2 linked regions of the Rattus norvegicus genome follow. The protein of the gene in region 1 purifies or fractionates together with the protein of each later gene. This does not show direct contact. Links are inferred from orthologs where the notes say so. Each region holds a gene or a part of one and is shown on either strand. Other genes may lie near its edges. The genes, in order: Dhx8 and Nkap.

What was found.
Region 2: the proteins of Dhx8 (region 1) and Nkap purify together in Homo sapiens (co-immunoprecipitation; 3 studies listed by BioGRID and IntAct, with this or other methods). This does not show direct contact. The link is inferred for Rattus norvegicus from reciprocal best matches to the Homo sapiens genes DHX8 and NKAP.

The regions. Positions count from the first base shown.
Region 1 is NC_086028.1:87,201,778-87,205,012, reverse strand, and holds the end of Dhx8 (ATP-dependent RNA helicase DHX8), read right to left. Parts: intron 2,980-3,235; coding exon 2,800-2,979; intron 1,311-2,799; coding exon 1,091-1,310; 3' UTR 587-1,090; downstream 1-586.
Region 2 is NC_086039.1:121,237,245-121,241,756, forward strand, and holds the start of Nkap (NF-kappa-B-activating protein), read left to right. Parts: upstream 1-1,469; 5' UTR 1,470-1,566; coding exon 1,567-1,946; intron 1,947-4,512. UniProt on the Homo sapiens protein: Acts as a transcriptional repressor. Plays a role as a transcriptional corepressor of the Notch-mediated signaling required for T-cell development. Also involved in the TNF and IL-1 induced NF-kappa-B activation.

The sequences.
Region 1 (3,235 bases):
AGTTACTAACGTGAGGCTGAAGGAGAGATCCCATGGCCCAGGATGAGCCCAAGATCCCCAGGGCACCCAGCATCTCCAGTCTGGCTTGGCAGGATGATGGGTCTCTCATCAGCACAGAACCTCCATAGTTCTCAGAAGGGGGCACTAGGAAAACCACTAGCAGGAGTGAAGGTATGGGTCCCTCCCCAGACCACAAGTCACCTCGAAGCAGCTGAGAGCAGTGCTTGCTTTCTGCTGACAGTGAGGTAACACTGTCATAGTGGTGTTCTTTGCTGTTTTAAAGGAATTAGGACACACTGCTCAACGACAGTGGCAGGAAGGAGACAAAGGATCAAGGTGCCACTAGGTGCCAGACTGAAGCACTCTGGCGCAGATTTGGTTAATCCGGAGCTGTCAAGGCTGAGCTAGCCCAGCAGTGTTGAAAGACAGACTGGAGGTTTGGCCCATGCATCATGTCTGGAGACATGAGAGAGGCCTAGGCTATGGGATCAGGAGGCTCTGCCACGTGCACCACACTGAACTCAGGCCGAGAGCCTAACCTTGCAGCTGCCCCTGCCCAACGAGACAAAGTCATAGTAAACCACTGTTTCCTTAAAAAAATAAATATTTCTAGGAGGTAGAAACCCAAGTACAGAGGCCAGGGAGTGGTAGGGAGTGGGGCCAACATGGTACATGAGAGTCATGGTTCACTCCTTCAGCATGAGCTGGGGTATGGGGCCCTGGCTGGGCCCGCCAGGCATCACAGTCACGCGTGCCCCTCGCCCATCCCAGGATACACAACTTATCTAATTGTTCTTTTGTGTGTGTGTGATTTTTTTTTCAAGACAGGGTTTCTCTTGGTAGCCCTGGCTATCCTGGAGCTTGCTCTGTAGACCAGGTTGGCCTCAAACTCAAGAGATCTTCCTGCCTCTGTGTCCCAAGTGCTGGGATTAAAGGCTCTGGCCGAAGTCCTGCTTAGATGTTTCTGTCTTACACTATGGAGAGAGTCAGGCTTGGAAAATGCTCAGTTTAAGATTAAGTCACCACAGGACTAGCTTATTATCAGCCAGAGGAAGCCACAATGCAGGAGAGGCGAGTGGTCAGCTGTCTTTCAGCGCCGCCGGAAAGCACGGGAGATTCTCCAGGCGTTCGGTTCCTCATACCGATTGTACAGAGGCTCCAGGCGCTGCTGCTTCTTCTGCTTGCTTAGCTTGGTTGGGTCAGAGACTTTGAAGAAAGCCGGAGCAAACTCCACAAGCCACCGGGGGTCGATGGTGGTGACCTCACGCATGTACTCCTTTGTGGTCAGCACCAGTTCATGGTATACCACCCTGTGGGAGACAGACAGGACTCAAGCCTTAGAGTAGACCCCACTCCACAGCCAGTTCAGTCCACAGGGGACCACGGCTGAGCTGCATTTTTTTTTTTTTTTTTTTTGGTTCTTTTTTTTGGAGCTGGGGACTGAACCCAGGGCCTTGCGCTTCCTAGGTAAGCGCTCTACCACTGAGCTAAATCCCCAGCCCCTGAGCTGGCATTTTATTCTATCACTTCTCCTGCCTGATCCATTAGGAAACTGTCAAAGCCACACTCCAATACTGCAAGCCCACACCCTTCCAATACAAGACGGCTCCCAGAGAAACAGCTCTAGTCCTGTCTCTGGCATGAACTAATTGAGTGACAGTGAAAACAGCCCTGTCCCATCTCTAGATTTCAGTTTCCTGCTCTGTGAAATAAACCAGTGGTTTCTCAGATAGTTTCCATAGAATTCTAAGGCTCTTGAGAGGGACCACAGAGATATCACCAAGGGATAGTGAGGACCAAGTGGGCAAGGCAGTGCAATAGAGCCAGGTATAGTGGCACACTGTGTGTGTGTGTGTGTGTGTGTGTGTGTGTGTGCGCGCGCGCGTGCGTGCGTGCGTGTGTGCGTGTGTGCGCGCACTCGCGTGCGCACGCGCATGCTCATGTGCATGTGTGTGTTTTCTCTTCTTCCACCTTTCTGTGGGTTCTGGGGATCAAGCTCAGGCCATCTCATTGACCAGCACCTTGTACTTGCTGAGTCATCTCAGGTCTGTTTTTGTTCACTTGAGACCGGGTGTCCATGTGAATAATCCAGACTGGTCTCAAACTCAAGGCAATCCTCCTGCGTTAGCCTCCTGAGAGCTAGGATTACAAGCATGAGCCATAAACTTTTTAAACCAACACTGAGTGTAGAGGCAGAGGCAGGCAGATCTCTGTGAGTTCCAGGCCACCCTGGTCTGCATAGTAAATTCCAGACCAACCAGAGATACACAGTAAGATCCTATCTTAAAACAAACAAACAAAACAAAAACCCACAAAGCCTTTTTAAGACCATCTCATTAGATGATTTCTAAGCCCTTTCCCTGCTTTTACCCCTATAATTTTACTTCTCTTAGAAGGGCTATTTATGGGCTGGAAAGACAACTCAGGAGGTAACATGCTTGCCTTTCGAGAGTAAGCTCAATCCTCAGCACCAACAGAGTGCTGGGCATGGAGATGCGCATTTGTGACCTCAATGCCGAGGAGGCAGAGACACGAGGACACCAACCAATCTAGTCTAATTGGTGCGCTCCAGGCAGTAAGATTATCTTAAAAGGAGAATGCCTCCTGAGGCTGTCCTCTGCCCTCCACAGACATGCACAAAGGTACACCTGTATACACACAAATACATATTAAAGAAAAAGGGGAGCTTGTTAGTGTATCTAATTTGGGGTTTTGCTACTCTAGAAATACAAAGTCAAAAGGAGACATGGAGGATGCTGGAGATTCAGAGGCTCTCTCTGTGTAGAGCCTGCCACCTACCATTCGGGCTGTCTGTTGAAAAGAGCACTGGAAGGATGGATATAGACCACCTGCTGGTCAATCAATGTCCGGTAGCCCTCCTGGGGGTCCTTCTTGGCAGCATTCCGGAAGAAGCCACTGCAGATGGCCTTCTGCACTCGCACTGTGGATTTACCACAGGAGACCACATCCAGCTTGTGCCTATCAGGGCAGTAAGAGCAAAGGAGACATGAGCCTGCTCTGTGCGCAGGGTGCTAGCTGCTCAGCATCCCACCTTAGGGTCCTCACAGTGGTCACCAGGGCCTTCCTCCCAGCTCACTACAGAGGTAGCACTGGATATGACAGGCAGAATGAAGGAACTAGAAGCCAGACACTTGGCTCAGGCAAGAATTCAACTCCAGACTAATGATCCAGAGGCCTGTAAGCAAAGCATTCTTAACTAATTCAGGTATCTTCC
Region 2 (4,512 bases), on another chromosome or scaffold:
GGTAATGCTGAGAGCCAGGAGAAATAATAGTCTTCCCTCAGTTGATCATCCAATACCAAATGGTCAGTCCTGAAATCATAAACAGACAGGATATATATATGGATTTACTGCTGTACCTGGAACTGTTTCCAAGTTGGAGATATACACATACATATATACATACATACACACACACACAGAGAGAGAGAGAGAGAGAGAGAGAGAGAGAGAGAGAGCAAGCAGGTTATTGTAACAATGCTCCAGACCTTAGTAGGTTCCCAGACCTTAGCACAACTGACTCCATAATGGAAGCATCATTTGGGCTATAAAACTCACTATGTAGATAGTATCACCTGTCAAAACCAAAGACATAATCCATTTATAGTTCTGGGAAAGTCTCTAAAGGTGCTACTAATCTTGCCTTTGACTTCTGCAGTTTCACTTTTGGCTAACTGTTCTTGTTCATTGAAGTATATCAACCCAGGACATGTGTTTGTGTGTGTTTCTGTGCTGAAAAGTTCATCCTGAGAAAGGCTGGGGCCAAGCTGGGACCACAAACACCCAGGGTAGTTGCTGGCCAGCTAATGAAGACTTTCTACTGGCTGAAACCCATGTCCAAGCAGTCTTCTCTGGTGAAAACTTTACAACAGCTATAGTTACAGATACATGTAACAACAACTAAAGAAAAAGAGGCAATGAATTTAAAAGAGCAAGAAGAGGCCCATGTGAACGGTTGGAGGTAGAAAAGGGAAAGGGAAATGACATAATTGTATTTCAATTTCAGAAAAAAACTAAAAACCAAAATTAATATTTGAATGCTTTCACCTAAAAATAATACTTGATACATACAACTATGAATCGTCTACCTTATATTTTGCTGGGCTAGTGTATGATGGACTAGTTTAAGGGGCTTGATAACTTTGTTTTGTGGGACATTTGTGGGTGGCTGGAAACTAAGTATTAAGATTTTCTCTGGGTCGCTAAACTAATCGGAGTAAAACACACTGAAGTTATAAGAATGTATGCCTTCTAAGTGAACTGGACAACAATGATCTTAGATTAAAGTTTAACCCTAATCGTGATAAACCCTCTTTTGTTTGCTTAGGATTTAAAAAAAAGTGGGGGTGGGAGTTATAATACACACACAGATTCATACGCGCACACCATACAGGCAAATATAGTCCCACACGAAATACGGGGAAAATTGGCGGTGTTGCTTATATGGCTACTCAATGAACTACGTGTTGCATTCATCATAATGTTCTTTTAGGTATCTGGTGCAGTTTAGATTTCAGAAACCTCACTAGGAACTGGATGAGAGCGTGTCCCCAGTTTCCCGGCCGGCTTCTATATGGAGATACACACATCCCTTCCTGTTGGCTGCAAGGACTCCGAGTCCAGGGGAAGGGATTTACTGCTGTACCCGGAACTGTTTCCAAGTTGGTTTTTTTGTTTGTTTGTTTGTTTGCTTGCGTTTTTTCTAGTTCGGTCGCTGCAAGCTCTAAGACCCTAGGTATCCGAGAACCTTTAGGGGACAAGGAGAGCGCCTCCTTGTCCCGCCCCTTAGCCGGTTCAGCTCACACCACCATGGCTCCTGTGTCGGGCTCGCGTAGCCCTGTACGGGAGGCCTCCGGGGGAAAGCGTCGCAGTTCGTCGAGGAGCCCCAAATCCATCAAATCTTCCCGCTCCCCGCGATGTCGCCGGTCTCGCTCGCGCTCTTGTTCTCGGTTCGGTGACCGGAATGGCCTCAGCCATTCGCTGAGTGGCTTCAGCCAAAGCTCTCGAAACCAATCTTATCGCTCCCGCTCTCGATCGCGTTCTCGAGAACGGCCTTCTGCACAGCGGAGTGCCCCGTTCGCGTCTTCATCCTCGTCCGCCTATTATGGCGGCTACTCGCGTCCCTACGGGGGTGACAAGCCATGGCCTAGCCTGCTGGACAAGGAAAGGGAGGAGAGTCTGCGGCAGAAGTGAGTGAGATCGCCGCACCCTCTCTTGGACGATTCCGCCTGCCTTTGACTCCAGCTTGTCGTTCATTGTTTCTGTTTTGTTTTGTTTTTCCGCTTCTCGCCCGCCTAGCACCTTTTTCATCTCTTTTTCAATCCACCCCATGACATTTTTATTTATCCTTCCTAACTTACATTTTCATTCATCCTTAGACTTCTTCATAAAGGGATCTGGTTTCCCACTACCTATTTCCCCCTCTTGGCTTGCTGGCTGGTATCACAAAGAAGCTCGGCGCTATTGTATTTCTTGATTGTGCCATTATCCGTACACCTGTCTTTATTCCTCACTAAACTGTAATAGAGGTCTGTGATTTTATTGATCAGAGAATTAGTAGTACCTGCCTTTTGGTAGGCATGCAGCTGTTTCTTGTTGCATGAAGAATCAGAAAAAATTTGAGATAAGAGGATATTTCAGTGGAAAAGTTTTGCAGGGAATTGGGAAGTATTGTAATTAAGTGTATGTATTGGCTCTGAGGAAAAGGGATAATTAGATGAGGCTATGTTGGGAAAAGTCTTGTAAGTCTCAGCCGTGTTGACCATGAAAACCGATGTGGGAAAGAGATTGGATCTCCTCTAATGGGAGTTCTTAGTTTAAAAAGACACAGACCTTTAGTGGCAACAGCTATGAGTCTCTTGAGGGAAGTCAGAACAGTGTCATTCTCATTGATGTAACAAATTTAAGGCCACCTTGGTCTACATGAGACCGAGTCTCAAGAAATATTTAAATTCAAACGCTGGGCATGATGGCTCACTAAAGCCGATGCAGGATTGTCATAATTAATTTGAGGCCAGTCCATACTACAGAATAAATTAAAGGTAGGCCTGAGGCAGAGTGATACCCTGAGAGGCTTATATTGCTGCATTAGTCATAGTATCTAATATATATGACGTTTATTATGTTTGTTAAAAAATTATGTCTTAGGCACTGAACTAGTCCCCATACCATGTGTTTAAAAATACTAAAATTTCAAGTATTGCAGGCATTGAAGAACAAAACTTTCCAACAGTTCAGAGATGTTTTTATGTTTTTTCCCATCAGGGAAGCAATAAAGTATAACAACAAAGGGGGCAAGTTTCAGAATCACACTGTCAGAGTGTGAAGGCTTCGTTTGCCAGGAAGCAGGGTAGTCTTGGAGGAGTTAGACCTTTCTGAGCTTCACTTCTTCATCATTAAAATTCCGTAGAAGTGGAGCTGTAACTCAGGGGGAAGAGTGTGCCTAGTAGACCTGAGTCCCTGAGTTGGAGCAGCAACTCGGGTTGGGGAGAGGGAAATTTGTAACAAGGCTTTTAAGGTGTAATAATGTCCGTAAGTGCGTGGAAACAAACAAACAGTCCTGAATTCTTAGAGACCTATGGTATGGTACCCATGGAGTATGTCAGTCGAAAAGCAAATGCTGAACCAGGATCATGTCTGTAATCCCAACACCGAAGAGAGGGTCAGAACCACCAGGAGCTGAAGGCTAGCTAGACCCTGCTCCATGAGAAGATCCAGTCTGAGAGGTGTAAGGGGTTTACTGAAATGTTAAATGATTGGATTAAATTTGCATTCGTACTTTTGGATGATATGAAGTTCATTGTGCCTGTTAAACATTGTCTTAGACACAGCAGTAGGCTTTATACCTTGTATTTTAAAATAAGAAATTGTAACATATTATAGGAGCAACAGACATGAGACTTCTGTGTTTGTTATGGCTGGGCAGCCATTCTTCCCCAGCAGTTACGAACAGTTTCATCCCATCTCTAAATTGTCTGATTGGCAAAATACAAAATTCTCCCAAGTCTCTCTCTATATAGTTATCAATGCCTTTTCTCATGATCAAAGATGTTAAAACAAAAGAAAAGAAAAGCCAATTTTATCTTTTGTAGTGATTTTTAAATGTGAGTCACAAGCTGCCAAACTTTAAGGAATTCAGGCTTATTTTTTTCTTCAAAGAATTATTTTATGTATTTTTTGGGTCAAGGGAGTTGAGACAAGGTCACTATAGCTTTGGCTGTACTGGAACTCATTAGGTTGATAAAGCTGGCTTCAAACACAAAGGTATCTGCCTGCCTTTGCCTGCCAAGTACTAGGACTAAAGGCATCCACCATGGCATTCAGTATCATTTTTATTATTATTTTTAATTATATGTATGTATGTGTGTCTGTGTATGGATATGGATATGTCAGTATAGATGCCTTGGGAGGCCAGAAGGATCACATCTCCTGGACCTGGAATTATAGGCAGCTGAGAGCTAACCAATTGGGGTTGGGGATTTAGCTCAGTGGTAGAGCGCTTGCCTAGCAAGCGCAAGGCCCTGGGTTCGGTCCCCAACTCCGAAAAAAAGAAAAGGAAAAAAAAAAAGAGAGAGAGAGCTAACCAACTTGGATGTTAGGAACCAAATTCCAGTCCTCTGCAAAAGCTGAGGACCCCTGGGCCATCTTTCCAGCCCATAGTTTGTATTTTAAGTTTATGAGTTGGAGTATATAAAATGAAAAAGTACTCCTTACCCCCCAAGAGTAGAGAATGTACTCCTCCAAAAGGACCTAAAA